2 linked regions of the Arabidopsis thaliana genome follow. The protein of the gene in region 2 interacts with the protein of the main gene of each other region in a pairwise test. Each region holds a gene or a part of one and is shown on either strand. Other genes may lie near its edges.

What was found.
Region 1: the proteins of SUT4 (region 2) and CB5-E interact in a two-hybrid assay, tested with the Arabidopsis thaliana proteins (one study listed by BioGRID).

What each region holds. Positions count from the first base shown.
Region 1 is NC_003076.8:21,752,592-21,768,207, reverse strand, and holds CB5-E (cytochrome B5), read right to left. Parts: upstream 8,880-15,616; 5' UTR 8,744-8,879; intron 8,592-8,743; 5' UTR 8,581-8,591; coding exon 8,494-8,580; intron 8,261-8,493; coding exon 8,194-8,260; intron 8,106-8,193; coding exon 7,855-8,105; 3' UTR 7,630-7,854; downstream 1-7,629. Other genes in the region: PLR1 (NAD(P)-linked oxidoreductase superfamily protein), read left to right, coding at 1,289-1,405, 1,490-1,718, 1,900-1,993, 2,086-2,209, 2,299-2,552, 2,637-2,730, 2,808-2,993; AT5G53570 (Ypt/Rab-GAP domain of gyp1p superfamily protein), read left to right, coding at 4,928-5,002, 5,120-5,367, 5,611-5,743, 5,832-5,881, 5,970-6,023, 6,111-7,284; YSL3 (YELLOW STRIPE like 3), read right to left, coding at 9,432-10,369, 10,448-10,565, 10,654-10,843, 10,928-11,062, 11,152-11,249, 11,484-11,659, 11,755-12,127. UniProt on the Arabidopsis thaliana protein: Membrane bound hemoprotein which function as an electron carrier for several membrane bound oxygenases, including fatty acid desaturases.
Region 2 is NC_003070.9:3,240,239-3,258,153, reverse strand, and holds SUT4 (sucrose transporter 4), read right to left. Parts: upstream 14,169-17,915; 5' UTR 13,897-14,168; coding exon 13,359-13,896; intron 12,996-13,358; coding exon 12,268-12,995; intron 12,132-12,267; coding exon 12,068-12,131; intron 11,940-12,067; coding exon 11,896-11,939; intron 11,595-11,895; coding exon 11,436-11,594; 3' UTR 11,413-11,435; intron 11,327-11,412; 3' UTR 10,938-11,326; downstream 1-10,937. Other genes in the region: AT1G09980 (Putative serine esterase family protein), read left to right, coding at 28-276, 511-769, 863-1,068, 1,169-1,219, 1,311-1,613; LRR XI-23 (Leucine-rich receptor-like protein kinase family protein), read right to left, coding at 2,726-3,102, 3,190-5,746; RAS1 (RESPONSE TO ABA AND SALT 1), read left to right, coding at 16,613-17,305. UniProt on the Arabidopsis thaliana protein: Responsible for the transport of sucrose into the cell, with the concomitant uptake of protons (symport system). Can also transport maltose at a lesser rate. May also transport biotin.

The sequences.
Region 1 (15,616 bases), on a different chromosome or scaffold from region 2:
TCGTTTTGACTACACGTTAAAGTCTGCCGAAAAATACTAAACTATATATAGTAAAAGCAAATGACACGTCGTCGGTGAAATTGATGTCAAACAAAAATGTAGTCACGTCGAAATAAATATTTATCTATTCGTATTCGTTTTGGTTCTTAATAGAGTATCATATTGGATGTCATACTAATTTTATCTATTCATATTGTGTGTATTTGGATATTCGAATTGTGCCAATTGCTGGAGATAAGTCTTAGTGGCCCAAAATTGTTTCGTTTTTTGTTCATTCTGTAATTGCATTCTCTTTCGGGCATATATAAAATTCCCACAAACTCAATAGTACTCATAGTCTCATACGTACATGCAAACTTCTATATATTTACTCGCAATGTAATCAGATTCTTGTAATAAGTCTCCTTTGGACATTCGTCTTCTTTTCTCCTATTCGACTTTTTTTTCCCCGCATATATGTGCACGATATTATCTAATATACTATGTAGCATCTCTTTAGAACTTGGTTGAAAAAATGACACCGTAACAAAATTGTATAATAGTGGATTTTCATCTTGCGCATGTTTTATTACTTGCTATGTAATCAGATTCTTGTAAGACCTCCTTTGGACGACATTCATCTTTTTTTCTTTTCGAAGAACATAGTTTTTTCTTTCTATTTTCCTTTCGACATATCCAATAAATAGCATTTTTAAAAGCTTGTTTACAAAATGACACCATGATAAAATTGTTAAAAATTATGTTAATTTTGCCCATATTTTGATCAAACAACAGAAAATTTGGGAATATTTTTTTTGTCGACCACTTTTATATTATTAGAAAATTTTGAATTAACACAAATAGATTTAAAATATTATTAATGTCCATACTTTTTTGCATGGTGGTAAAACACCGTAAAATGTTATTTGAAAAAAAAACAAACGAAATCAACATCATTTTATTTTTATAATTGATTAAAATTCCAAAAATACTATTTATTTTATTTTTGGGGAAAAATTGTAGTTTCTTGGGTGGGCTTCCACAAAATTCTATTATGAGACTGGACTGGACCCATAAACAGAGGCAAACCTTACTTTTGTTTTCTTTGCCCATCTCACATAATACACTCTAAAATCAATTTATTTCATTAACATTAAATTGATTTTAGAGTGTATTATGTGAAATAAAGTAATTGAATATTAAATTAAATTTTCCCAGAAAAAGCGTTGACAGTTTTATCTTCAAAAACATCCACACACTGAGAAACAGCAGAAGAAAGGCTTGAGAGCCTTCTTCTCCACTATTTTCAATGGCTTTAACATTGTCAACCACAAAGACCTTCACTAACATAAACTGCTCAAACAATACTTCCAACATAACCACCTTTAAGCCTCTCAAGCTTCCTCTTTTCTGGCCATGGCAAAAGGTAACACATCAATACGCATATAAAGCAAACGTAACAAAGTGTTCTCCTTTTTAATGCAATTGAATGAACAATCGATGGTTTTAGGTCAAAATGGGTCCTTTAAGTGTTTCTCCTATGGGTTTTGGGACATGGGCTTGGGGTAATCAGCTTCTTTGGGGTTATCAGACTTCCATGGATGATCAGCTTCAACAAGCTTTTGAATTGGCTTTGGAAAATGGAATCAATTTGTTTGATACTGCTGATTCTTATGGCACTGGTAGGCTTAATGGCCAAAGTGAGAGACTTTTGGGGAAATTCATTAAAGAATCTCAAGGTGTGTTTCTCTTTAACCTTTCCCAATTTTGTTACTGGTCTAAAGATTCTGATTCAATAGATAGTTTCAGAAATTTGGGGAAAAAATTGCCTTTAGTTGGTTCTAAAGTATTATCCTGGAGCTGTCTTGATAAGTTACTGTGGTGGGTTTGTGTGTTGTGATTAATGGTTGCAAATGTCAGGACTTAAAGGGAAACAAAATGAAGTAGTGGTAGCTACAAAGTTTGCAGCTTATCCATGGAGGTTAACTTCAGGACAGTTTGTGAATGCCTGCAGGTCTCTCTAAGTTTTGATCTTTGTCTCTCTTTTTCACTTCTGGTTTATTGGAGATTGATGATAAATTGGATGATGTTCTGTTGTTGTGTTAGAGCTTCTTTAGACCGGCTTCAGATAGACCAGCTCGGGATTGGACAGCTTCACTGGTCAACTGCAAGCTACGCGCCTCTACAAGAGCTTGTTCTTTGGGATGGTCTAGTGCAAATGTACGAAAAGGTTGCTTAGAAAACTACTGAAAATATGAAATCTCTTTAATGACCATTTAAGCACTTGGAAAGTTGATGATAAGCGTTCCTCTTTCTCAGGGTTTAGTTAGAGCCGTTGGAGTTAGTAACTATGGACCTCAACAGCTTGTGAAGATTCATGATTACCTTAAAACTCGAGGGGTTCCTTTATGTTCTGCCCAAGTGCAATTCTCATTGCTAAGCATGGGAAAAGAGCAACTAGAGATCAAGAGTATATGCGACGAGCTCGGGATTCGTTTAATCTCTTATAGTCCTCTTGGGCTAGGAATGCTAACTGGGAAATACTCCTCTTCAAAACTTCCCACTGGTCCACGGTAAAGTACTAATAGATTGCTCAAAGATCGACAAAACTAGCCGTTGTTTCTTGTTCTTAACTATGCTTGAACACTGATTAACAGATCATTGCTGTTCCGACAAATTCTTCCTGGATTAGAACCTCTTCTTTTAGCACTGAGCGAGATTGCAAAGAAACGAGGAAAGACTATGCCTCAGGTATTATTTCAATTTCATAAGATTCTTGGGAAGAAGAAGTGTTGAAACTTGTAAGAACGAGTTATCATTTGTTACAGGTTGCAATAAACTGGTGCATATGCAAAGGGACAGTACCGATACCGGGAATCAAGTCGGTAAGACATGTTGAAGATAATTTGGGTGCTCTGGGATGGAAACTTACAAATGATGAACAGCTTCAGTTAGAATATGCAGCTAAAGAATCACCAAAGTCAATGATTCAGAATATTTTTCAGACAAGATGATAGGATAAGAGAAGATGCTTATACACATCTAGACCACAAATGAGAACAATGTGTATAAGTAGAAGTTTTAATCTACTTCTTTATATATGCACATATTGTGAAGAACACAGATAGTTTTCTTATACCATTGTTATGCATATAGTGATCAAATTCCTAAGCAATTAGTCCTTCTTCCAGTGCAACCATTTAAACGCTTAGATTTGGACATAATACCCACATTTCATGCCGGTAGACATTGCTAGTTGTGAGAGACACATAAACAAAGTTATCGATTGTCGTGTTTTCTGCTCTTGAAAGCTCTCTCTCTCTATCCATAGTGACTAAACTTATCATTGCAATTTCTGCATTTACATAGACATAACTTATCTTTCAAGCAACCAAATGTTTATCCCTAGAACGTAATAATGTTATTTTATACCTACAACTTGGCCACTAGTCTTGCTTGATGTCTTCTCCATCCAACGAACTTTAATTTCCTCATTTAAACTCTCATTAACTTTCTTAATCAGAATATTATTTAAAAACAATTATAGTTCCAAGAACATGCAAGTATATTTTCATAAATATATAAATAAAATACTACTACTAGTAGTGCTTTATTATTAGAATAAATTCTTTTCCATATGCTTTTGTAATTTAATACCAACTATATTCCAGATTTGGTTAATGACATACGCGGCTAGATTTAATAGCATATCTTCGGCTTTATGTCAGTCAAAAAAAAAAAAGGTATAGTTATTTTTTCTCTTTATTCCGTTACACTTTAGTAAGACTCACAAGTCACAACAAAATAAACAATAAACATCATATTAATCAAATCCTTTTCAGTCTTTGTTTATAATTATGCTATAAACAAGTTTAGGTTTGGCTTAGTTCAAAGTTTAATTTTGACTCGGTTCATAGACATTTATTATTACTAATCGGTTTTAACTTGATCCATTTGAATGTGTTTACTAACCCTTTTCCTTTTTTTTTTGTTTATTGAAAACATCTACATGTAAATCATATTAACTTGTGTTTCCATCTTATAAATTTCTCTTAACTTTTTATTTAGATAAATATTGAATTATTTAGTTGCCCACTTTTCTCCATATGATCAATAATTTCGAATTGAAAACTCATTAATATAGATGAAAAGTTGTCAAATGAATTAATTTTTGTTATTCTGTTATCTATAACATCAAATCATAAAAATCAATCCTAATTAAGATAAACCCTTTGACTATATTGTTAGTATTTGCTATGGAAATTTAATATATATCATTATCCTACCAAACAAAAACTATTCCAAAATAGAGTATTTTAGAAACACCTATATATATTCAATAACCATCGTTAATCCAATTCTTAACCTTACCATTGAGTAAACGTAGGTCCATTAGGTCAACATTCTTATGATTAGATTTGTTCTCTAGTAGACATAAAAATTTTACTAGAAAATCTACAAAACTAATCATGATTATGCTCCTTAAAAGCCGCGGTAAAGTGGGAACGTAATGAAAATCTTTTAGCTTTTGACATTTAAAGCTTTTAACCATAGTAAACACGTGTCATTTCCTCTTTGGTCATACCCGATATCGCGTAAAAATCCACCAACGAAGACTAAAACGAAACGACGCAGTTTCATAATTAAAATTCACCTACCAAATCGCGTGGAGAGTTAAAGCGCGTGTAGCATTAAAGTAAACGCGCGAGTCCACGCGCTTAATGTCTTAAAGTAAAAAAAAAAAGACAAGAGCTGAAAAAGAAAGAGCAAAGTGGTTAGAGAGGCTTCAGTTGTTGGATGCTTTTGCTTTTTTTCCTTCTTCTTCGTCTTCTTTCTTCGTCTCTCTTCTTTTTTTCAGTTTCGGCGTGCTGAAGAAGACGATAGAGTAATCAATCACAGTGAGAGAGATTTGAGGGTAAATCTGTCCTTTTCTTTTCTTAAACAACTCATGCTTGATTTCTGCTACGGCGGAGGAGGAGGAGGAAGAGGTTTACTTTTGCTTATCACCGGGAAATTTCCGGCGGTGATTCACCGTCGATGATAATGGGTTTTATTAAAAGTGTAGATCTTTGATGAAAGCAGGAGACTTTTTGATTTCGATTTTGATTTTGATTTGGGGTTTAGGTTTAAGTTTTTAGAGAATCAGATGAAGGCGTTACGGAGAAGCTATACTTCAACGTCTTCTGGGAATTCATCTTCTTCGTCTTCGTTACCTTCTTCGTCTTCTTCTTCGTTACCATCTTCTTCTTCTTCTTCACCTCCTTCTTCTAATTCTAATTCTTATTCGAATTCTAATTCTTCTTCGTCTTCGTCGTCGTGGATCCATCTACGGTCGGTTCTCTTTGTGGCTAATCTTTCGTCTCCGTCTTCAGTTACTTCTTCCGATCGGTGAGTAGCCTAAAGCTTTTAGATTTGGAATATTTTAGATGGCATCTAAAAGATTCTCTTTTTTGATCCAATAATAGAGTTCGGATTGAATGTTCACAACTTGGAAAGTATGATAAAGATTAACAAGTTTCTATGTTTGTTCGGATTGTTTATTTGTTTTGCTGTTAGATTGATTTTGGCAATCAATGTTGTTGATTTTGATATTGTAAAAGCTTCTAATGTTGACTCTTGACTTGTTTATAGCCGGCGGAAATCACCGTGGTCTCGCCGGAAAAGAAAATGGGCATTGACGCCACATCAATGGAGGAGTTTATTTACACCGGAGGGAAAACTCCGTGATGGTGGAGTTGGATTCCTGAAGAAAGTTAGAAGCAGAGTGAGTCTTTTGAACAAGGACCATATGTATGTCTTGTTTCTTACTTGTCTCTTTACTGGTTCTGATTTATGTTCTTATGGTTCTGTAGGGTGTTGATCCAAGTATTCGTGCAGAAGTGTGGCTGTTCTTACTCGGAGTGTGAGTGTTTGTTCTTGTTTTGACTTTATGGTCTTGGTTATTTTTATTCACTCTGTTGAGATTCTCAACTTGTTTTCTCTTATGGCAGTTATGATTTGAATAGTACTAGTGAAGAAAGAGAAGCAGTGAAAACTCAAAAAAGGTTAGTATTTAGTTTGATCTATATATAGTCAATGTTTGTATTTAGATGCTGATAGATAATTTCATTGTTGGGATCTTTGAATTGTAGGAAGGAGTATGAGAAACTACAGAGACGATGTCAGATGCTTCTCAAGTGCGGTAATGGAAGTACCGATAATCTTGAGGAGCTTCCATCTGATGAGGCAAACAGTCAATGTGTTCGGTTCGTGGATGATTATAAGATTACAGGACCAATGACAAGTCAAGATGTTGTTTCTGCTTTGAACACTGATTCTTCTGATACAGACTCTTGTGAAGATAATGAAGATGTTTTACTACTCTCATCTTTTGCACACAGCGATGAAAAAAAGCCGGAGGAGGATAATAGTAATAACAATTCTGAAGAGAATAGTTCTCTTCTTGTAGCTGCTGCTTCTGAGGTCCAAGTAGAAGTTGCGGTACACGAAGATTTCTCTACGTGGCAACGTATCATCCGGCTTGATGCTTTACGAGCGGATTCTGAATGGGCAAATTATTCTCCATATTCAACAGCAATCACAGAAAGCAAAGCTCGCAGGTTAGCCGAATCTGTCGGGTTAAAAGACTATGATCACTTAGAAAGCTGCAGGCTATACCACGCAGCACGGTTAGTTGCAATTCTTGAAGCTTATGCTATGTATGATCCTGAGATAGGCTACTGTCAAGGAATGAGTGATCTGTTATCTCCAATCCTCGCTGTGATCTCAGAGGATCACGAGGCTTTCTGGTGCTTTGTTGGTTTCATGAAGAAAGCTCGGCACAATTTCAGGCTTGACGAAGCAGGGATTCAAAGACAGCTAAGCATTGTATCAAAGATCATAAAAAATAAAGACTCTCAGCTTTATAAACACTTGGAGAATCTTCAAGCAGAAGATTGTAGTTTCGTTTACAGGATGGTGCTTGTTATGTTTAGGAGGGAGTTGAGTTTTGAACAGACGCTGTGTCTCTGGGAAGTGATGTGGGCTGATCAAGCTGCCATTAGAGCTGGAGTTGGGAAGTCGCCATGGAGCAGAATCCGGCAACAAGCACCGCCAACGGATGATTTGTTGCTCTATGCAATCGCGGCGTTAGTACTACGTAGGAAACTGATCATACAGAAATACAGTAGTATGGATGAGATTGTGGAAGAGTGTAATAGCATGGCTGGTCAGCTTAATGTCTGGAAGCTTCTTGATGATGCCCATCATCTTGTCGTGACGCTTCACGACAAGATTGAAACTCTTTCTCAATCACAGAGTATTTGATGAAGAAGTCGATCAAAGCCAGAAATGAAGTGTTTCCACTACACAAAAGCCCTTGCACTCGTCTGGCTGCGTTTTCTCAAGGTTTAAAGTTTGTTGCGGTTTGGTTCTTACCGTTTTCACTCCTCTCTTTCTTTCTTCTTTCTTTTTGTTTACTCATCACACAGAGAAAACACAATACTACTATCCTTATCGCTTTTATTGTAGTACTAATGAAAAAGACAAGGCAATATTCTTGTTAAAATGTAACGGATGAGTCTGAAACTGTCATTTCCACAATTGTATGAAACATATTTGTTCAATTGTAGAAATCCAGTTTCTCACTTCTTTATCAAGCAGCTTAAGTTTGGGCAAATCAAGCAGTCTTTTATTATATCATCAAAGTCGAAAACACTGTCATCATAAACTCAACACAGTAAAACTAGTAGCAACACAATGATTTTTGGTTCGTAATTTCAACAAGAATCAGTCTAAGACCAAACAACAGTAACAGTACTTTTTTTCGCAAGAGAGATAGACAGAGATCGGTAGAGATATTCAATGACAAGCATCAAAGCAAGCCTTTGGCTTCTTCTAGTCTTTCTTGGTATAGTGACGGACGACAAGAGCCAATCCCAAGATCAAGATCGGAACAAGGAACTGAAGAATCTTGATAATGAATTCTGGTGTCTTGTCTTGGTTGTAGGCTGGTTGCTGTGGTGCAACGTATGTCCTAGTTGCTGGAACACTAGACGAATCAATCTCACCAATGAAATATTTGTCCATCATGTCCCTTGCAGTGTCGCTGTGACCAACGTCTTCAAAATCATTTGTAGCATCTTTCCCTGCAAACAAAACACCACATCAGAACAGAAACAGTCACCGAGCCGCTTCAAATCCGCCTTGAATCAGAGAGAAACACAAGTTTTATACCTGTTGAGGACAACAAGACTTCATCGCCTCCAGGATGATCATCCATGAATGGAGTCACATCATACACCTAAAGAACGCAACAATCACAGATCATAACCAAGTAGTAGACACAAACTCTGTTTCTCTAGTGTGAATTAACATAGAATCAACTAAATCTACGAGGGGCTCGATTAAAGCTTCTAACAGTAACAATCCAACTCTACAACTTTAAAATCGAAGCTTTGACACAAATCAATGGCGGAAGAGAACTAAGTTCGTCAAAAAACAGAGATGTTCTCAAACAAAGAGACAAGATCTAACCTTGCCGGAAATAATAAGCCAACAATCCTTAGTTTTGTTGTGCTTTGAAACTTCTTCAAAACTTAGAACCTTCCGATCTGAAGACATCTTCACTCAAACTGCAAAACAAGAACACATCAAAGCTACTAATCAAAATTTCTGATAATACAGAGTACTAGATACAGATTCAAATCGAAATCATCAGAACGATGATGAATGAACGAATATACTAATTCCCTTATCGATTTTTGGAAAAAGATGGGATCTTTACCCTTTCAGATTCAGAATTTTCGATAGCTCCGAAGCTCAGAAATCAGCAGAAGACGGAAGAAATAGAGGTTCCTCACCTACTTAATTGTGTTCAATATAAACAAAATACGAAACTACCCTCGATATTTTGCTTAGGGTTTGGATGAGCAGGGGTAGTTTTGGTCAAGTTGGGCTTTGACTTTAAACAAATCAAATTGGGCTTTGTGCAAATCAAATTAAAATTTGGTTTCCATTTTTGACGAGATTTTATTTTGGTCCACGTTTGGTACTTTGAAAAATACAAATATGACGTGTGCTGAATTGACAAAAAAAAAAACAGACACATAAAGTGTGATCTAACAACGTTTAGCAGATTTCAAAGAAAGAAATAAATCTTAAAATAGAAGAATCTTGCCTTTTGTCAGTAAAAACATATACCAATTTAACCGTATTTTTATCACTATTTTGGCAAATATCTTCTGGAATTTAATTCCATTTGACCTTATTCTAAAATATTGAGTTTCTTTTTGGGGAGAAGTTACTTGGGACATGGATTTTTAAATAGAATTGAGAGACTAGTTTATTACTTTATTGTGTATACAAACTTACAAAGTACAATTCCTATATAAACTGTTTTTTTTGTTTCCACAATTCTTTAGCTAATTTTTTTGTCGCTACACAAAAAAGTAAAAACTCGTAAAAAGCTATCTTTAACTCGAATATTTACTCGGCATGAAGCCCATACATATAGGAGGTCTAACGCCGGCCAAAGCAAGAACCGACGACGGCAAAATCCATAGACCATCTCCACATATCAAACCGGAAGCAACCGCCGGTACCATTAAACCGGCTTTAACTCGATCTCTCATATTCCAAGCAAACACAATCAAACTTCCCACACACATATCAATAGCAAAGTACCCTCCAACAAGAAACGGAACCGCCATTGCCATCGGTAATGGAACCCAATTCCCTATCTTATCCGGTAACCTATCCCTAACGAGATTTGCCGCCACCGCGAATGCGAAAAACCCGTAACAAAGCTGTAAACAATGTTGAGGCAAAGCAGAGAAACCTTCAACTCCAAGAATTGCCATGTTTCTGTATACCAAAGCGTAAGGAGCTTTGTACTCTCCCTCCTGGTTCCCGACATCGAAAGCTTTATAAAACAAGAAGAAAGTTAGAGGCGCCACAACGCATCCGATCGCTGTACCGATCGCTTGACTCACAAGCATCGACCTAGGTGAAGTCAGAGTCAAATGTCCTGTCTTGAAATCGTGCATTAGGTCAGAAGAAATCGATACAATCGATTTTATCAACCCGCATCCGACAAGTCCCGCGACTACACCATTTTGTTTCCCTGCCATAGCGGCTAAGATAAACAGAGCGACTTTACCATAGTTATAAGCCATGTTCATATCTGTTAGCCCTGCTCCATAAGCGTTACTGAAACCTAACGATGGAGCTAACATGTAAGCTACGACTATGAAGTACCATTTCAGCTCGGGGAACATTATAGGGATCGCGATGATCGAGACAACAGAGAACGCTGCGTATCCTACTGCTGCAACCCATAATGGAATGCTGTCTCTTACAAAGATCTCATCTCTTTTAAGATCTGCAATAGATTGCTTATCTTTCTCCGAATCTGCGATTTACGTTTGAACATCAGATAATACATTATTGAAATGACGATTTTTCTATAGTTTTTTTGGTGTATACTTACTAGATTTCCCAGAGTTGCGATTGTTTAACTTGACGTACATGTTTATTCCTGTCTTAAAAAGTATCTTGATGAATTGGTAAAGCCCGTCTCCGAGGATCAATGAGATTGATATAAACACCTAAAGAGTTATGAACAAATTAAGAACGAAAGTACGCGAAAGAAAGGGCGGAGTTTATTGTAGAGTACTAGTGTTTTTTGTATGGAACCTTGTAACCATTGAGACTCTTCATGCTGTTTTCAGGAAGAGTTGATGGGAACCAATCTCCTTTAAGACCTTTAATGAGTGGCCACATGATTCCCCAAGACAGAACCGCGCCAAAAAGCAAAGATATATTGACAATATGGGGACAGATCATTCCTGCTCCAACGTATGTCATGCTAAAGTCGAAGTAGAATCTGTCAAGTTTTTTCAAGATCATCAAGATTCTGTTTCTATCTGTTGATATATAAACAGTCAATAGAACTAAGAATAATACTCACGTGTTCTTCAAAGCTTCTAACCCGAAAGTTGGAAACTGAATGAAACCGCACTCTGTACCACCAGAGAAGAACCATTGGAAGAAAGCCCAAATGAAGCTAAATGAGAAGTACTTCACAAACCCAAACACTTGTTTCCTGCATATAAACAGATTTTATTTAAATCAAAAACTCTAGAATTAGTGGTGAAAGAGAGCTAAGAGACTGCCAAAAAATCGAGTTAATACTTGGCCATTTTATTGCCTTTAGGAGTGTGGAAACCGTTGATCAAAACCGCGGTAGCTGTTCCACTTGGATATGTCAGCTTGTAGTCTATGATCATGATCTGGTTAACCAAAAAAAGAAGCATAATGAACACTTAGCAATGTAGACCCAAACCAGCCAACAGGGGATTAATAGTCCAAACTTGGCCAATATTAATCTCCGTCCTATGTTGGCTATAGCGGGTTTGGCCAGGCCCATATCACACTTATATGGGCCGGACTGACCCGCAAACTTTGGCCTACCGCAACATCTCTAACTACAAATTCAATGAGACAGAATCTTAAATAATCTCTACCTTTCTTAGAGGAACCAATGCTAAAAGACCAACAAAGCAAGTAAAGAACAAGAAAGCGGTCATCCAACCGATTCCAGGCTCTTTCGTGCCTTCCGGATAATTCCCATCAGTGTGAGTTCCTCCTGACTGTTCATAAGTAATTCTGTTCAAACCAAGAAGGTATGAACCAAACCCACCTGCAAATCACACAAACACATAGCTCAAAACAATGATCCAACCCCAAACAAAAACTGATCAAACAGTCAAAACAACTGGTCAAAATTCACTGAACCTCCAACTGCAATGCTGTAACAAGCAACAGCACATGTTTGGACAACAGTGTTCTCTTGTTTAGTGAACGGTTTAGTCACAATCCCGGCTTTGGTCAACAGCTTGGTCCAGCTTCTAAGGAAGACAAAGGCTAAAAGTGCTGCAGAGACATTTAGGTTTGGGACCAAACCTGTTGTTAGGTTTAGTTTCATCACGATCACACTGTAGATTATACCAATGATTAAACTTGCAACAATTCCTCTGAAAGTGATTTGTTCCTTCCATGGAGGTATTGACTTGAAATCATCTCCTTCGTTTTGCGTCTCTTCCAAGTCATCTATTACTTCTCTTTCTATCTCATTCCTTCCCTCTCTCTCCATCATCATACTCCTCATTTTTTTCCAAGAACAGAACAAAAAAACAGAGTTTCTTCTTCTTGATTATCTTTTTTGACAATACTGAAAAAACAAAAATTTGTCAAAACAAAAACCCAAAAGACAGATTCTTTTAATAATTAAATATCAATCAAAAGCTTACTTTTATGGAAAATGACGAGAGGAAAAAAATGGTACCTCTTTTTGGATCAATTGATTCTGGGAATTTTATATAAAGTTTAGAATTTTTCTTGCTTTCCACTCCCAAGCATAATTATCTGAAGAAGAAGAAGAAGAAGAAAAAGAAACAGTTGCTTAGCAAATGAGAAAAAGGAAAACTAGAGATTATTTTAATCAAGTGCATAATCTTTATAACCATAGAATAATGACGCAAGTTATCTCTTATGTTCAGAGATCTAATTAAAAGAATTAGAAAAAAGTTAATGACTCAAGAATCTGCCATTAATCTCTTTTGCTTCAAACACTTTTTTTTCTTTCTGAAATCTGTAGTAAACGTAAGAAAAGAAGAGAATGAAACGTAACTGGTTAATGAAACAGGGACACACACACGAAGACCACACTCCCGTTTCCCAAAGAGATAAAAGAAAAAAAACATTGAATGCTTACACGAAACGAAGACCAAAGAATAGCTAAAAATGGTATAGTTGATTTTTTAAAAATGGACTTTGGTGAGACTACTCAAAGTTATATAGAGAAGTAGAGATGAAGAAGAAAGCTTAAAACCAAGAAGAATTTATTTATGGGATCTTGGGTTCTTATGTACCGCACGTTGACTTGATATCAGTACTACACAAAGAAAAAAGAAAAGAGAAAAGAGTTTTGGGGTTTATGTAGTACAATAATCATTAAGGGGTTAAACTTTATAAAAGTTACGTCACCGAAAAGAAAAAAAGTAGGGTAACAATTAATTATTAAGAATATACTCCACATATATAACCTTCATATATCTCACTAAGAAAGTTATATAATTTATGGATGTATAACTAAATGTCACATACGAAAAATCAAACTTTATAAGTTTGTCAAACACATGACTATTCAACCATTAGATTAGTATGTAGAGGAACAAATGTCATTATCTCTCATAAATATATAACAATTAGGAGTTTAGGTGATGAAATAAGATTAGGAGTCAAATAGTTAGTAAAATTACACTTGAAATGATTTATTCGTAACTTTAGATTTGTGTTTTGGTTAGACTTAGATATAAATTATGAATGTATTTCTATTTCTAAATATTTTTTCCATTAAAATCAGTTCATCCATAATTAAGTTTTTTTTTGTTCTAATTATAAGAGATGGTTAACTTATAACTAGTTACAGATTACAATATCAAAAGTCTTTTAAAAGTCATAAATATGATATCATAACTAATTAACCTTTTATAGTATTAAAATACATGTTTAACTCAATGAATCTGGTGACATTCATGTGAAACTGAAAAAGTGAAAAGTTTGGTAAACCGAGATTCCGGTTCATGTGACTGTCTTTTACTAAACAAGATGATGACATTATGGACAATCTTATGCCATAACTATCCTCTTTATTTTATTGACCACATGATTAATATTAAAGCCAAAATATGGAAACATAACTCTCCATAATGTGAATAATAATTAAAATTTTCTTAGGTAGTCAATCAAGAAAATGGTAAATGTCAACTCCATACCATGTGGTCACAAACATACCAAAACCCCAAAAGAAAATTAAAGTCGAATAAATTATTCAATAAGTTCGACTTTTGATTCTTTACGTCAACACGTCAAATTCATAAGTAGAATTGGACTATTATATTCGGACGTTTCCTGGCCGAATTTGGTGCGTTATATTACACCAATCCTGCGTGATAGGATAAGATCAGATCAAACCAATTAAACCATTTTTTGCCAAGAACATACGAATGAATTTGCATTTTTGAAAACCAAGACTTGTTTAAGACTGAATTTTATAAGATCGTTCCCAACCTATTTCAATCGGCCAGAAATATGTTCAATTTAATGCATTGGTTGATAAAGTTGAATAAACTACTGTAACAGCCGTTGGTTCAAAATAATTTTGTTCACATTATAGTATTTAATGTAGTGTTGACTAGAGTTGGGGTAGTAACTGGTAAGTACCACTAGCTAGCTAGTTATGAAGTGAACGTGTTACAATTCTCTCGTATATTAGATTTTTATTTTCTTACATCGTCCTTCCTTAAACTAAATGATATGTAGTAGTATCATTTAGATCTCTATATGAAGGAAATGGAACTAAAACTGTTAACACGGAAATTGTGTGAATACAAACCACTAGACAATAACTTTCGAATGTCTCGTAGTCGTAGGCATATATATACATGATCGAATATTAATGTGTCCTCGTATGCTAAGTAGATATTACGAGGCCCTATGGAGAAGAAAAAGAGAATAATACTACTCTCTTTTGTACGAACTTTACTTTTCTTTTCCTATATTTTTTTTAAAAATATGTAATTCACTTCTTCCATGCATTCCTTTGAATAATTATTTATGACTTTTTTACAACATTTATGAGGTACTGCATCTGAGAATTACCTATTTTTAACATTGGATTCAACTGATGGTGTTAAGTGTGAGAAAGCAAGATCAACCATATGACTATCTATCTATAACCAAGATTTACTAATTACGTCCTAACCTTCTCAGCTTGACCATGCCTATCTTCATAGCTAGACCTCTCGGTGGATCCTTTCTAATGATTGAAAGTATGATCTTACCCAAGTTCAGTTCATGTTTGATCAATTGACTCTTTTAAGTCTACCCAATTTTTGTCTTCGCCTCTTGGGAATATTGGACCTTCACATCTAAATTATAGTTCACTTTATGCCAAACGATACGCACCAAGCAACTATGATTTGGTATAAAATGGCACTTTCAGTTATTTTCATACGATACTTTTTTACACACCAGTTATTGAAGAATAAAACATGTCATTTTCATTTTCTATCGTATTTATATTGATATTAGCATTGTGAGAGATTTGAATTCAACATATAGTAAATTCTGTAAGAATGTATGGACCACTATTCTACTTATTTTTCACAGTGTAATATTTATTTAGCTTCAACGAATTTGACAAAATATATTATCAACTTGCTCGGTTTATTTATTCATATCTTATCACAAAGTACTTTTGTCATTCAATATCCCTACATGTCCCAGTTCCGTCTGGATATATGTATTTTAGCAGCCATCAATGTATTTTTGTAAACTAAAAACTAAAAAGGAGTCTAATTTTTTTTTTCCTAAACCATTTTCCATCGATCTTATAATATTCGTTATTTTGGTCAGTCTCCCAAATTATTTAGTCTTATTATTTATTTATTAAAAAAATATTAGACTATTTGATAATGGAAGGCCAAACTAAAAAAGTTGTAAGATATTATATAGTTAGGTCTACATTTTTAAAAAATTCATCGATCAATCCATTTCGCAGTTCTCAAAGACTCAAATGTCATACAGTTGTCTA
Region 2 (17,915 bases):
ATTTGATTGATTATAACTAATGTGCAGATAAACAACCGGGCAATACAAGACATGCATATATTTGGTGATCCTATGCGGGTTCCTATAGTTATAATTGAACGTGTTTGGAATGCACCAAGGCGTACGTTCAGTGATAATTCGTACATGAGACATGTTGATAGAATCGATTCTAGCTTACTTAATGGGCATGATGATGAGAGTGGGACGAAAAAACATATTAACCCACAGCATACTGGGCGTGAGCTGAAGATTGTTGTTTTTGTTCATGGTTTCCAGGCAAGTATCTTCTTGATGTTCAGTGAATGCGTATTTACTTTCTATTTCTTAATCTTATGGAGGAATATACCTTTTTTCCTTAAGTCATTGTGTTTATTGGCAAAGTGTCCATACTCCATATGTTAGAGTTGCTTCTTTTTTTTCGTTTCTGTTTTACTTTTGCAGTTACAGTTTGCTTTTGTATCTTTGCAATTTTTTGTTCGTTACATGATAGATTTCTGTTAACTGCTATAGGGGCATCACTTAGACCTAAGGCTTATCCGGAATCAGTGGCTCCTAATTGATCCAAAGATAGAGTTTCTCATGTCTGAGGCAAATGAGGAGAGAACACATGGCGATTTTAGGGAAATGGGTCAGAGGCTTGCGCAGGAAGTTGTTTCTTTTTTCAAGAGGAAAAAGGATAAACATGCGAGATACGGGCGCTTGAAAAACATCAAGCTGAGTTTTGTTGGACATTCAATTGGTAACGTCATCATCAGAGCTGCAATAGCTGGTATGTTCTTAGAATCTCTCAGACAATGTTTAAAACGGTTCGTAAATCGGTTTTGGTGTTAATCATTATTCCCGACTTATGTATTTGTTGCAGATAGTTTGATGGATCCATACAGGAAGTATTTTCATACATATATATCGCTTTCGGGTCCACACTTGGGTTATCTATACAGTTCAAATTCCTTGTTTAATTCTGGACTTTGGCTCCTGAAGAAGTTAAAGAGTACTCAGGTTATTCATCAGCTTACACTCACAGATGATCCTGATCTCCAGAATACTTTCTTTTACAAGCTCTGCAAGGTAGAGAAAGATGTTAACATTTCATCAAGATCTTGTACCATAGTTACAAACAGACCTTTGTTCTTTGGTTCTGAAATGTTGGTTTTGAAATTATTTTCAGCAAAAGACGTTGTGCAGTTTCAAGAATATAATTCTCCTGTCTTCGCCTCAGGTACATTCCATTACACTTATATGAGAATACAATCCCTAACATTTTTTTATATTGTCTAATTAGAGCCATGTCTTTTTTTTTGCTACTCCAGGATGGGTATGTTCCATATCACTCAGCTAGGATTGAGTCATGCCAACCAGCTTCTTTCGACAACTCAAAAAGAGGTGTTGCTTTCTTGGAGATGCTTAATAACTGTATGGACCAAATACGTGGGCCATCCCCTGAAACTCCGCACCACCAGAGAGTGTTCATGCGCTGTGATGTCAACTTCGACACAACCTTGTATGGTCGTAACCTGAACTCATTCATCGGCCGTGCTGCTCACATCGAGTTTTTGGAGTCTGATGTCTTTGCAAGATTCATAATGTGGTCATTCCAAGATCTATTCCGCTGACAAATCTTGGTTTGTGGAGATATGTTTTGAGATAGATCAGAAAGATACAACCAAAAAAAAAAAAAACTGTTGTATATTAAGTAGGACAATTCTTTGGTTAGTTTTTGTGCACTCGCCAGCGGAAGAAGTTATCAAGTATACGTTACCTCAACTTGTAGGAAGTTATTAGTTTTTTTTACTTTTGAGATTAATTTACTATCTGCTAATGACGTTTGCTCTATCAAATAAAAAAACAAAAATGTAAAATATGTATTCCTATGCTTAGGAAGATATTAAGAATTGCCGACTTCTTTCAGAAAAAAAATACAAGTTTATTGTTCGAACCAATGCAGAGAAGCAGTATTGTCTGCTTGTGAAGAATGAAGAATTATACAATTTTCGCTTAAGCATTATTGTCTTCTTTCTGATAGTATCTTTTTTTTTTTTGGCTAAATCAGTAAATATCAGTAGATGAAAGTTTAAACATAAATGCATTCTCAACAAAGGAAGCTTTGAATCTCTTATTAGTGGAGCCAAAAGGCCATGAGGTGTCTAAATTTCTTCATCTTTCTTTTATTAAGTTGGTCAAAGTGGGCAACTACAAAAGTTTTTGAGCATACGTAGATTTGACTAACTTTTAGAAATCACAGGAGAGGATATCATAATAATAATTGGTCTATGTCATCACACCAAGAATCCAATTTGAATTTGGTTTCGTTTTGAGAATTTTCTGAATCAAATAATATAATAAAATCATCCTCACGCAGAAATAAATATAACTCTGATTAAAAACTGATTGATTGCAAGTTTTATAGACATTGTTTTACCCAGTCGAATATACACTTCTTAGCAAAGTAATAGTATAGGTGCATATAAGGACCATAAATTTCATTTAGTAGTTGACCTTCATGAACATTTGAAAACCTTAAAATTCTACAATTACAAGAAAATAGTTTACAATGAGATCGTTACAACACCTATGATTTCATAACCCGGAGTACTAGTATTACAACACTCTCCATCTAAACTCTTACGTACGTCTTAATAGATTTAGATGATCCACTTTACTCGATCTCCCTAAGTTTCATTGTGAACAAAACAGACCCCAAAAGAGTGACTTGGTCCCTCAATCATCAACTTATTTCTTTGACCTTGACATCACTCTCTTTGCTGATCACAATCCCCATCAATCTGCAAGGTTCCGCGTCCTCGATCATCTGCACCACGCTCCTCATCGTCGGTCTTAGTCCAGGAAGTCTTGCGGTGCAGATGATCGCAATCCTCAGCATCTTGACCGCGTCTTCTCTATACATTTCTCCTATCTTCTTGTCCACAATCTCCATCACACTCTCTTTGCTCTTCAGATTGTTGCTCACCCAATTCACTATGTCTTTGCTCTCTCCAAACTCTGCCTCTATCGGTTTTTTCCCTGTGACTAGCTCCATCAACACGACCCCGAAGCTATATACATCGCATTTCTCAGTCACTTTTGACGCATATCCATACTCTGCAACAATATTTTTTACTGTCAAATTGTAATTTCAAAATGTAAGGCCATAACAAGCTGATGATATAAGAGTTAAGTCTCTTTATATACCTGGAGCTATGTAGCCATAGGTTCCCGCAACGACATGCGTGGACTCTGGACCGCCATTGCTGGCCTGAAGAATCTTGGCAAGACCAAAATCCGCAATTCTAGGTTTCAAGAACTCATCTAGCAATATGTTACTGGACTTAACATCACGGTGAATCACCGGTCTCTCATACCCATGATGCAAGTACTCAAGCCCTTTTGCTGCACCAAGAGCTATATCATACCGTGTTTCCCAACCAAGATTCGACTTCTTGCAAGAGTGAAGCATGTCCCATAAGCTTCCATTAGGCAAGTACTCGTACACCAGCAAGCTCGAGTCATCGCTCGTGATGCTACAATAGAGTTTCACCACGTTTAAGTGTCGTATCGAACTAAGCGTTTGCACCTCTGTTTCAAACTCTTTCGATCTTCCCTCCCGTTCAGTGAGAATCGGCATTGCACTGCTGAAGTTTTTCTGAGTACTACTACACCGGATGTGTTTGACCGCAACTTCTTTACCATCACCAAGTACTACTCTGTACACATCCCCACAACCTCCTCTACCAATCAAATTCTCTTCTTTGATTGAATCAATGATATCATCTTCAGTGAAACTCATCTTTCGGAATGACTTTATACTCCAAGATTCGTGTTTAAGCGAACGTCCCTCCTTCTTCTCTGTTTTCTTCAGGTACAAGAAAAACACAAGAGACGCTAGCAAGATCAGTAACCCGAAAACTATACACAACACGAACACGCGAGTGTCTCCATGCGATCTCGAAGGATTTATGCACCGGTTAAACGATTTGATCGTCGTGCTACAGAGGCCAGGATTGCCATTGAAGCTACCATTATATGATGACAAACTCAGAGGGATACGACCTGATAATCTGTTGTTAGACAGATCAAGAAGGCTAAGCCTTAAAGACGACAAACTCTCTGGGATTCTCCCAGACAACTTATTGTCCGAAAGATTCAAAGCGTTGAGCGTCGGGAGTGATCCAAGCGTGTGGGGGATTTCTCCGGATATCGAGTTTTGAGCCATGTTGACATCGCTGAGCATCGAGCACGAACCAATCGAGTCAGGTATCTCACCGGAGAAGCCATTGCTCTGCATCTTTAGACTGCTAAGTCCTTTGAGTTTCCCAATGGAGCTAGGAATCTTCCCGGTAAACCGGTTATTGTTAAGCTCAACCTTAGTCAAAGATTCAGTGTCACCTATCTCTTCAGGCAGCTCATCAGACAACTTGTTGAACCCTAGATACAACGCTCCGAGCATTTTACCGTTCTTTATATCCGCGGTGATTGGACCTTCGAAGTTATTCATCTCTATATCGATGATCTCGAGCTTCGGTAATCCCCAAAGTCCCGCGGGAACAGTTCCGTTGAGGTTGTTCTCGCTAACTCTGAACCGTTGCAGAGTCAAACAGTTAGCGTAGGACTCAGGGATAGAGCCAGTGAGGTTGTTTTGCAGGAGAAGCAGAGCTTTCATCTTCCCGTTCTTGCACATATCTGGAGGGATCGGTCCGGTTAAGAGATTCTCTGATGCGTCGATGAAATCAAAATCAGCAAGTGAACCGAGTCCTTGAGGCAGAGAACCGGTTAACTTGTTTGTATACAGAGAGAGATTCACGAGATCCTTGAATTCACCAAACTCCAGCGGAATCTCACCGGAGAATTCGTTTTCGAACATTTGTAGTGAAACGAGATTAGTCAGAGACCTAAGCTCCGATAAATCGCCTTGTAGAAGATTTGTTGAAGCGTCCAAGTAAGTCAGATTCTTCAAGTTTCCGAATCCGGTAGGAAGTTTTCCGGTCAAGGAGTTGTTGTAAAGCTCTAACTGCCAGAGATTAGTAAGTTTCGAAATCTCCGACGGAATCTCTCCGGTTAATCCGCTATCGGAAATCTCCAAATTCCGAAGCTCCGTCAAATCTCCAATCGCCGGTGGAATTTTTCCGGCGATACTGCAATTCGACAAGTAAAGCCACGAGAGTTTCTTCAGAGAAACAACCTCCACCGGGAAATCAGCCGTCGCATCAAACGGATTATCGCCTAGGCTCAAAACGACGAGACTCGTTGCGTTTCGGAGCGATTTCCACGGAAAGACGCCGGAAAAAGCGCTGTTGTTGAGATACAGAAACTGTAACTGATTTAAAGATGAGAACTCAGGGAAAGCACCGGAGAATAAATTGTTGCCGAGATCCAAATACTTCAAACTCGTGCAGTTTTTCAAATCGCTGGGGATTATTCCAGATAGTGAATTGAATCCGAGAGAGAGTTTCTCGAGACTCTGAATCTCACAAACCGAATCGAATGGAAAATTCCCAGATAAACCTCGACGAGAGAGATCAATCTCTGTAACGTTGCCTCTAGAATTACAGGTTACTCCGATGAAGCTACAAGGACCGATACCGGAGTTCAGTTTCCAGGAATCGAACACGGCGAGATTGGAATCGGCGAATGATGATTTGAGCTTGAGTAAGACTTGGAGATCGTCGGAAGAAACGACGGAGAATAGAGAGAAGACGAGGAAGGTGGAGAAGCGGTGAAAGAAGTTGAAATTCCTTAACGACGGAGCCATGTCGGAGAGAAGAAGTGGTGACGGTGGTTTGAGTTGATCGGAAACTTGTTTTTTCACATCGGGAAATTTGGTTAGAGGAGAAGAGAGAGAGAGAGAGAGAGAGAGAGAGAGAGAGAGAGAGAGAGAGGCGGGCGCGAGAAAAAAGCTTAAGCTTTGCCGCTTTGAAGCAAAGTTCTTCTTATCTGGTGGTATCCATTAAATATTCAAATTTTGGCTTACCTTTGTAATCACTATCACTCACTCTTTTTGTTTTCTCTCGTTTTATATTTCTTTATTTATCACATAAACAAAATAATAATTTGCGTCATTGTTTTTTTATATGGTGCTTACGAAAATTAAATTATCTCCAAATAAATAAAGTATATCTTAGTTGAATAATATTGGTTTTATTAAGAGGGACCCTTGATAACTATACTATTTAGTTTTCTGATTATACAGTAAATGTATGTGGAATATTATATGAGCGTTTTGATATATTACTTTATAATTATTATTATTATGGCTTTTTTGGTTTTCATTGACTATCCTCAGAAATTTTTTATTGAAATTGAATAGAATTTTTCAAAAATTTAAAAAAAAATCCACATACAAAACTGAAACGATATCCTACTATTGAGTAGAGTATTGACTAATTAAGTACATTCTTTTGTTAATAGATTATTTTAGACTAGACGTAACGCCGAAATTGTACCTTTGTCATTGAGGAAACTTAAACAAAACTTAACTAAAATCATTATACCCCCAAGAAAAAAAAACTTAACCAAAAACAAAGAAACCAATCCAAAAAAAATATTAAACTACATTATTAATTTATAGTTGTCTTATATGCAACTACACTACATGGTAGGCTTAGGTAGATGTGGTTTTTATATGCAGCGCTATTTTTGGGGCTATATAATATTTTGTACACGTCCGTCGTAAGTATTAATATACATTTTAATCTGCAGTATACCGCAGGACAATTTATTTTTTTAAGTTAATATATATAAAAATTTATATATTATATCTATCTATAAAATATTTTTATTTTATAGTTTACAATTGTTATTAAGTAACGTCCTGCCAAACTCGTCCCGCAAAAAAAAAAACCATTTATTTTGTTAATGTTGATCTTATTTATGATATGTTTATGAATCATTCTCTAAATATTTTAGTCAAAATGGGACGTTGAACTCACATATTTTTCGCCAATTGGTTAATATATGTTCATTTTTTAAATTTTGAATCACAAAATATGACGGAAAAAAATTTGAGATTTTTAAAAACTCTATATATTATATAATGATGTTAAGATTTTTTGATATATTAAACTTTTTATAAGTTTAAATATTAGTAATGTTAAAAAAATTTAAAATATAAATAATAATATTTAAAAAACTAATAGTTTTTGCCTTTTAGGTAATGACATAATAAATCTAAAAGCAAGGATTTAGAAGATTTAAATCTTTAATTAAATATTTTCATTCCTAAATAATTAATGCCAGTAGCATGAAATTGTAAATAAGTTCAAATACAGGATTTATTTATTTAAACAAAAAACGTTTAGTAAGAATAATATTTATTTAAACAAAAACTTTGTTTTAAATATTGTTAACAAATACGTTTATGCTAATTTTAAAGGATTGATGGGAAGTTTGTTTGGATTAAATTTGATTGATAATGTGATTGACAATTTAAATTAAGAATTTAAAGTAAAATGAATTATTTTGGAAAAAAGATTTAATGCTAATGACATTGAGTTGTAAATAAGTTCAACTCTACGATTTATTTGCTAAAATGTCTGCAAAAATATGTAGATGATTGTGTATTATACTTACGTTTCAATTTAATTGAGCTGTTGATGAGGCATCACTATAAACATGTGTTGAACACTTGCTTTTTATGGCACAAGAGTTGCAACTTGCGACAATATACTTTTTTCCAAAGTTAATTAGGAAGTAGTTATATGTCTTAGCTCTTATCTTAAAACAAAACAAATGGCTATTTTTTTAAAAGGAAATTTTCATTCTAAATCTTTAGTTTGATTACCAAATTAACCAACCTTATATTGTGTGTGTACACATTAGGTAATGCAATAATATATCGACTATAGGACTAATAATTAAATTCTGCCGCTCCATAATTGCCATGTTCAAATTTGTTTGAGGGCTCTTTTTCTCGGTGGACTCTTCTTTTTCCGACATAAAACAATAAAAAAAAAGAATTATCATTAGAGCGTTATTTTTATGTTTATGTTGCGAGTATTCATTTGTCATATTCTGATTAGGTGGAGACATAAATAATTGATTCCACGCCAGAAGACACTAGTGAGTCCAAACAAACACATGTGTTTCAAACCTTTGAAAATCAGTAAGAAAAAACTTTCTTTGCTACTGTGTTTCCCTAGCTTGCTGTTGTAGAGTCTTTTATGATTAGGTGACGTAACTAGAAATAATATATATAGATGGTCTAATTAAGCGTAAAACTAGAATTACTATAATAGATTACTCTTAGGCTATATACTAAAAAGAAAGATCCACAACCATGATAACAATTCGGACAGATATGAAAAAATTTCAATGAATTACACAACCAAAACCTAGTTCAGTGATTTTAAAGAAAAAAATTAAGCCAGAGCAGTTTTCTCATTTGGCTCTAATCATCTTGGTTTATATTATCCTGAAAATCTTAGGGCTTAAAACAAAAATCAAATAAAACGTATATATTTACCGACGATAAGGCGCGATAAAAAATTATCTATATTAATAAATAAAAAAGATTATGACATTTTTTTTTTGGGACAAATTTTAACGTACGCATGGATCATTTAATATATGAAAAAAAAATTTAGACTGTACAAATAAGTAACCACAGCTTCTTCTTTTTTTTTCTCTCTCACGAGTCCACGGTGAAAGAAAATTTGATTGCATGATGTGAAACTATATATTAAGAGATTGATCTTTATTGATAATTTTAACCATACCGTAACTATCAATCGACGAATCTTTGTTTGGTCAATGAATTATTTCGAATATGGAGTCTTCACATTTTACTAGTCAACAAAGCGTTCGAAGCTTCATGGAAAAAGAGGGCAATACTAGAGAACAGACAAGAAAAGAAAAGAAAAAGTTTTTGATGAAATAAGTTATCCAATAATTGAAGCCTAAGAAAAGACAAATCATTCTTTTACTTTTATTTTTATTTTATTTTTGTTATATGATAGTGCAAGTGCATGGACGTGACGATAAAATGTACTTGTCAAAAAATACAGGGTGGACTTCACTTAGCTTTTCTTGTGATATGAAAATCTTGAAAGGTAAAAGCTAATTGCTTTGTTGCATACAAAAAGGCAATTACTTTATTTTCTTTCAGCTAAAGCTAAAAAGGTTAATTAAAGAAGAAGAAAAAACTCTCCACTTATGTAAATCCGAAGGCGACAAGGGATGAATCAAATGGCCTACAGTGAATGCTTTCAACAACCCAATTCTTCATAAAAAGAACACAATCTAAATATAACATAAGGTAGAGAATGGGGATTCATCTTTCTTTCTTCGTCAGAAGGATTTGATCACATTTTACAATAACAAAATATACCAAAATAACCACTTTTCTACACATATTAAAATGATCATATTTTAAATTAAGAAGGGGATTATCTACACATCCAAAATGTACTGCGGGGTTAAAAATCAAGGATCTCATCATATTTTCACTTGCATTCTAACAATCTTAACATCTTGCAATACTAATTACGTACGTTTATGCAATTAATTAACCACGTGAGAATCTCATGCTTCTTTTTTGGTTGTTGTTGAGAATCTCATGTATTTGTTCTTGAAGGTGAAGAGTACTAACCTCAACATCTTCTCTTGAACCATGATCAGTAGTACTCATCATAAAAAAAGAAATTCTTGATAGATACACATCATAAAACTTTAATCTTGAATTTCTTGATCTGTGTTGACCCCCAAAATAAGAAGAAAATACAGTATTACTCTTTCAGAATTTTCTATTTCAACTACTGGTATTAAACTTTAATACCATCTTAATTTATTTATTTCTTAATCTCAAAAGTGTCAACTGTTATACACAAATGAGTGATACTTAAATCAGTATGTTGAGATTTTAGATACACTTTTAAAAAAGGTTATGTGTAGTTGAGAACGTATTAGATTATATCGTAGAGAAGGATAAAAAGCATGCTTAGTAGTAAGTTAGTATAAAAAAAGACTTCAAATTTAATTATACTAGAAAACGAGATTTAAGAATTTTGAAATCGTAGTGCATGCAGCTAGAGACTCTAACCTCGAATTTGTTAATAGAAAAAAGATGATAAGATTTGCCATTCGTCTAGAAGCAGGGAGGTGTGAAAGCCGCCCTAGTTGACTTTGAATATAGAGAGAGTCGGTGACAGACAGAGAGTAAACCACGTTTTTGTCCTTTGTTATATATCACTTCTTAGATATTAGCCAGGGCCTCTCCAAATCCCAACAGACTTTTTAGGTCCCTTGTGCTCCTCCTCCACACGTGTATTCCTTTTTCTAAATTCTTTAGGCATATTACTACTCCACAGCTTATTTTCTTTTTTTCTATTTTCAGTTTAAACCAATTATGATATCTGTTATACATACTCTCACACAATCTCTATTGGACGGTCAAAGTACTTAACTCTGGAATCATTCACAATTTTACAAGGATAAGTATTGCTCAAGCTGTATTAGCATCTACTTATTTCTCTCAATTATTGATACGCTGCCTACAGAATCTCAATAGCATTACAGTAATTTCAATCTCAAACATCTCACTCAAGAAGAAAACTGGGATTTGCTACTATTCCTTCCTACTAGGCTTAGAGCACTTCCAATGGTTTATCTTAGGTGTATCTTAGAATAATATTTTAGAATTAAACTTTGAAAATTAAATCAAAATAAATTAAAAACTAAGATTTGCTTCTTAGCTAAGAAGTTTTCATGAGTGAAAAAAACAGTTACATGTCATGTTTCAAAATTTTAGTATAAATAATTGTTAAGATGTTTGGTTAAGAACCAATTACTTCTTAACCATTGGAGATGGTCTTAATATTCCCAAGAGTCATCCTAATCTATTGCTGACTATTGGTGGTTACTGCTACTATAGAGACTACTAGTACTCGTAATGGTTCCTTTCTACTTTTGCTACACAGATCATGTAAATTTTTTGGATCTCAGGTTTTCTTTATCAAACTAATTCTAAAGAAAATGAACTTTATAAACAGTTACAGAACTCAGGGGCCCTTACAAACACTCTGTTGTACACAGGTTTTTACATTAATTTACAACAACAACAAAAAAAACAGAGAAGATCCCGAACTGGAACTTCCAATAAAGGAGAGATGCATATACCTCACAAACTGAATGATGTATTATTTTCATTGGTTCTATGGTGCCTCGTGTATACAAGGATCATAGTCCCCAAAGTAGAGGGGATTAAGTCCTAGTAGCTGCAAATAAGTTAGTCACACGAGAAGCCATTGCACGAATTTTCGACAAGGATCACATTAAGTGTTCCATCTCCTTGCCATTTCCAAGCACTCCCCTTATGCGTTCCTCGCTTGACACTCATCTATTTCGCATTAGCCGCTTTTAATAATCAGTGACAACTTAAGTGCTTACTATGTACTTTTTGTGAAAGAATTGTGACATTATTACCTTATATAACAAAAGAGAGAATCTCATGGGAGAGGGATGGGCTTCTGAATCCTTGTCCGTGGAAGAGCCAAGATAGCTACAATTCCGCCAATGAAGCCTGTAGCTGCTCCTACTGCAAGTGCCGGTGAATTCCCACCTCCAAACAGTTGATCCCATGGGCCACTGCCAACAGACACAATTACCTGCAAACACATAAATGATTGAACAACAGAATTTGAGTTTGATGCCAAAAACCATAACCAACATAGGGAAGAAATTCATCAATCAACTAATATAGAGAAATAAAAAGTGTACTTTCATCACTGGCCAATGACCATAACTAAAAAAACGAATCGTTTATTAATGACAATTGACAAATAATGCAGTAACTCTGCTGCATGTTATGCTTATAGACTTCCTTTTACAGGCAGAAACATTCAAAGAAGAATATGATTTTGAGTTGCGGCAAATATAATGCTAAAAGGATGGTTGAAAGAAGTGTACCTGTGGGATGACTATCGCCAAATTTAGCACACCCAAAGATAAGCCTGCCACAACAGAACTTTTATAAGAAACAACACTCATATGTAGAGTAAAATCATTGAGCAGAACTTTTCTAAGAAACAACACAACAGAACTTTTATAAGAAACAACACCCAAAGATAAGCCTGCACACCTTGACCTAAGCCCAGGGATTCAATACGTATGGAAATCAACGCATATGGGACGCTGTAAGTTATCTGCAGAAGAGTAGCAATAGCATTAGTTACAGCGAAAGCGTAAATAAATTTCATCATGTTGTTACAGATGAGCAGGCAAAATATCATAAGTAATAGTGTAAGTAACATGACAGCAGAATTACAGGAGTAAACTTACCGCCAATGGAATGCCCAGAATTGTAAAGATTAACACAGCAGCAAACACGATGCTGGCAGGAGGTTGTTCATGGCCAATGTAGCCAAGGTGAGACGCAACAAATGAGGTGATTATCATTCCAAGAAAGCAAATAGCCATTAAGATATTTGATATTCCCCAAACAAAACCAGCCCCCCACTTTCTGCAAAGTTTCTCCATGAGCACAGAAGTGATTCCAAGAAAAACAGAATTCAACATCAAACCAAGTGCACCCATACTGACCCCAGCACTATATGAAGTCCCTATGTTCGGTTCACCGCCATAGATCTCTCGACCCATCCAATCAGTATCAAACAGAATAAATGGAAACCAACCAATCCATGTCAATGCTGTAACAAGCAAGATTATCCAAACATTTCCTGGAAAATATCTGAAAGTTCCAAATATCTCAGAAAGAAAAGCTTCGTCTGTTCCACTGGTTTGCCCATGTGCTTCAGAAGCCAATGAAGCAAGTGGCACCTCATGAGCCGCTGAGACGCTTAGGATCGTAGTTATTGCAATAAAGACAACATCTATGTAGAAGGCAGACTTGAGATTGGCACATTCCACATTACATGCAACTGTCTTCGTAAAAGTGAAGATCTTGTACCAACCATTGTATGATCCAGTAGCATAGCCAAGAACATTGCCAACAGCCATAAAGAGAGAGAAGTAGCCATTTGCAACTCGGGTTCTGCGATTATCATTCTCTGAAAATAAAGCAATAGGACAAGAATTAAAACACAACATATCTTTGTTTTCACTCCATGAGGTTATCACACAATCGTAGGCTACGATTAACTTCACCAAAATCCACAATTTGATTCAAGGGAAAGAGAAAAAACAAAGTCTCTGTGACTCAACGATAAGCCACCGACCAGAAACAAAGAAGGGACCTTTTGATTGTTAGGAACCAATTAGGTAATTATATAACCCCAAATTGTATCCAAAATCACAAATTTATGCATTTTCATGTTTTGCATGTGAGTGTATAATCACGAGAATCCCAAATTTACTACATTTGAATGATTTCAAATTGAAGACCCAATCAACACTAAAGTCAGGAACTTTACCAGTAAGATCAGCAAGGAGAGCTCTACAAGGACCTTGAGTCATATTATTAGCAACATCAAGAATCCAAAACCCTAAAACAAAAGCAACAATCGCCCTCGGCTTAATCTTCCCTTCTCTATCCCCAAATGCCCATCCAATATCCGCCGCATGACCAATAACCATAACAGAGATAGAAATCGCCACAGCTCCGGCGACAATAAACGGTCTCCGACGACCGTACTTACTAGTACACCTATCGCTACTATGCCCAACGAGCGGTTGCACGAACAAACCAGAGAGAGGACCGCAAAGCCAAATCACACTAGCCCAAGCGTGTGGGATCCCCAGCTCTTGAACGTAAGGTGTGAGGAGAGAAAGCTGAAGAGCCCATCCGAATTGAATCCCGCATGCGACGGAAGCTACACGGAGAAGCACACGCTTCGAAACTTTTGATCTAGGAGGAGATACAACGGGACGAGATGAAGAAGTAGAGGGTCGAGCTATTGGTGGACGGTTGCGAGTGACTCTGTGACGGCGATCTTGATCGGAAGTAGCCATTTCTCGCTTCACAGTCGTCGTGGCGTAGAGAGAGTGAAAAAGCTTAAAGTGGAGAGAAAAAGGTGGCGAAGAAGAAGATGTTGTAAGAATTCCATTGGACTAAAGGAATCTACTTTAGGAAAGTTGAGTGCTTTTTGTAAATTGTTTTAAATTTGTTGGGGAAATTGTGTAAATAATGAAAAGTGGGCACGTTAAAAGAGGGTATATAGTGTAAGGTTTGTTGTTTCTCTATGGATAAAATACATATTTTTGTTGAAACGAAATGATTTTGAGGGAGCATTCGTCATTTTCTGTTGGATCACGGGGCAAAAAGTAAGTTCCACTTACGTAAGCTGGAAGAAGAGACGTTGAGTATTCAATAACACTATCAATATGCAGTTTTGTGTTTGGAACAGAAAAAAATGTCATCTTTATTCAAAGAAAGAAGAGGGGGAAAAAAAAAAAAAAAAAAGAGAGAGAGAAAGAGTGTGCTTACGCAATTTTCAAATACATGTTCATCTACATAGACAATTTTCAAATATTCTCTTAATATGTAATTTGGTTGAGTCCGTTGTTTTAACTAATAAATTACTTAATATGGAAATTAGGTCGAAAGGATTGAGCGATCAAAATTGTTGAAATACGAAAATGACGTTATTGTTTGTTAATCAAGCTTGGGCCAATGTGAGCCGTACACGTGCTGCATGATTCAGGTTATACGGTTTAAACGTATAACACGATGGCGCCAATTTACCAAAACGTACTCTAAAATGGCATCTTTTTTATCTTTACTTATAGTCTTTTAGGCCTAATCATGTTTTAATTAGGGTAGGTGAACTGATTTTTATCTTTGTTTTTGCTCAATAGTTTAGTATGCACTTGATTGGGTTGGAATTCAGTTTTGTACCAACATTTCGTTCCCCTTTTTATGTAGTTGCTCACTCGAATCATGTTTAGGTTTATTATGGCGATATGAAATTGTAAGGTTTTGAATAATTGGACTATTTTTTGCGTTCAATTACTCACCGGGTCAAAATAAAGAAAAACGGATGATTCCACCATCATCTAAGGCAAAATGATTTTATTGCAAAAATAAGAAATTGAGAAATTCTCATTGCAAAAATGGCTTATAGAGAAACAAGAAAGGATGATGGCATGCAACTGAAGGCCCTATCCATTGAAGGAAACTCTTGTGGGCTGAACCAATAAGCTAAATAACCCAAATGAGGAAGAACAAAAACCTAAACATGAAGGCCCGTTTCTCCTTTTAATGATTTTATTCGTATAACCGCCTTAAAAAAAAGATTCAAATGAAAACAAAAATGTTTGATTAAAACTTAAAAGGCCGCAAAAGAAACACGGTTTGTGACGAAAACGTGGCCGCGTAAGCAACGAGTTGAAAAGTATCCGCGTCCGTGCGTTGCATAGCCAACTAATGCCCACCAGCTCCAAACATTTTCCAACTCTCTCTTTTTTTTTTTTTTTTTAGTTTTGCAAAACGTGTTTTCTCAGTTATTTGTCGTCACTTCTTTTCATCTAATTTTTTTGTCAAAAAAATTTGTTGCCTCTTTTATCTTTAAAGCTTGTATTGTTTTTTAATACGTACTTTATTTCTCATACGGTAGTTCTGAGAAAATGGTAAAACTGCCAAGCATTTGCAATTTTTGACGAGGAGGAATTTTAAGTAATAGAGAGAAAAATTCTATTCGTTAAATTCTTACAAGAAAAAAAAATCTTATAAGAAATTATATAATTATCTCATCAGGTTTTTAAATGAATTTGAACTCTCAATAAGGTTTACTCTAACGACTGATTTAAATGAACTTATAGTATCAACGTGCATATTCCAATTTTTTTTTTTTTGACATCTTTTCTTTTTTTGTCCGTTATTAGAGTGATGAAAGAATCTGTTGATTGAAATATGGTTGCTCGATCCCCAAGGTTGAAGTTAGAGAAAGATCTTTTCGAAGGAAGTATGAGACAACTACATGGAAAAGAAAAATCTTAAAATAATGTAGAAATTTTCTTAGTAAAGAAGAAAAGATGGCTCGCGGCATAACTGGAGCATTTATGAACTGTTGGTTTATTTGGTTTCTATTTTGTAAGGACATGTTCCTTTCCTGACATATGTCATCTTCTTTACATGACGTGTGCCTTCTTATTTTACCAACATGTGTCGGTTTCCTCTTCAGATGTTATTTTAGGTCATTCCATAATATCGAGATGCGACCCTGACAGATATATAATTCCAACTGGAACTAGTAGTGATAGATACAATTTCAGATATAAACATTTTAATTATAAAACAGACTAAATATTTTAAAGATTTTTAATGAACACTTGTTTTAAAAAAAAAAAAAAATTCTCTAGGTTATAGTCTTTCTTTTTGTCGATTCTATAGGTTATAATCAATAATTACCAAGGATAATTTATATTTTATTTTCATCCATATTAAAATTTTATACTATTGTTTAACCCAACTTGATTCTAAAACCAGAGTTGAATAACAACAGCAAATGATGATAAGACGCTGCTCTGATTACACTTCACTCCGACAAGACAAAAGTCACAAAAATCCATTTCGCCCGCCGACACATCGTCGATAGACCGACATATCGTAAATTAATTCCTAAAAGATTTTTCTTGGTCAAGCCCAATGTAGTAGTATATAAACATTCTTGCACAACGTACACTCACAGTCCATACTTACTTAGTGAGTACTCCAAACATAAGAAACATGCCAAACACTAGCAGCTCTCAAAGCTTCACTATCTTCGTTGATGGTTGGTTAATCCGTCACAGGTATTTCGTTGAACAGCTTATGTGTGCTTCTTCCTTGGATGAAACTAATCGTATCTCTCTCGAAGAACAACAATCTCTCGTGGCCCAGTTTCTATCTCACTGTCTTCAATACTACCAAGAGAAATTCGCCTCCGTTTCCCTCGCCGGGGACAACGTTTTCACTTTCTTCTGCCCACCGTGGTTTAACTCCTACGCTAAACTTATTTTATGGGTCGGCGATTTCAAGCCTTCTCTTGTGTTTAAACTCACCGAGGTCTCCGTGGCCGACCTCACGCGCCACCAGAAAGACCGGATCTCGAGTCTTAAGTCGGAGACTAGGAGGAAAGAGAGAGAAGTTATGCGAGATTTCGCCCTCGTGCAACAAAGCGTGGCGGATCCGCCGGTGATGCTCGCGGCGAGGCGCGTGGGAGCGGTGGGAATGGTGGACGGAGAAGAAACGGATTTGGAGGAGGCGATGGAGGTGCTTAAAGCTGGGATGGCGGCAGCGATGAACAACGCTGATCAGCTACGGTGTTCGACGGTGGGGAAAGTGGTGGAGATTCTTACTCCGCCGCAAGCGATTAAAGTGTTGAGGACAATCGGACAGCTTCACCTCCGTCTGAGAGACAGAGACCAAGAAAGAGCTTAAAAAAAAAGATACTTAATTTGCTTTGCTCTGCTTCTTCAACAACGATGGAGTCATCACTAATTTTTGTTTTTCGGGCTCAACCACTTGATCCTGAGATTTAGATTTCCTTTTGGTGATTTATGATTTTTAAAAGATTTGAGAATTGGGCTTTTTTGTTTGTAGTGATATGATGTCATGTTTTTTATTTTTGGCTTCTCGTTTCTTCCTTAAATCAGTTCTTACTAAATCTCATCAGTTACTTTTACAATCAGACCAAAAAATGTCAAAAGTACACAGTACTTGCTTTCAAAATCCTACGTAGCTTATGATGTGGTCGCCATGTCATTTATAGTACTTTACTAACTTGCTGACATGTAATTGTTGAAAAAATATTACTTTTATTCCATTTATCAACACAAAACTGGGCTTAAAGCATTGGGCCAACAACAGTGAACAACGGGATACAAAAAGAGTTCGTAGTTCTGCAAATCGAATACAGGAGGTCCAATATTTCAAAAGATGCATATTTTTCTTGGCTAAATTGGTCAATGTTATTGTTAGGCATGGCGTTGACTTTAGAGGCTTCCTAGAGATTGCCAGATGAGGGAGTAAAAGTCAGCTTTGATGGGCT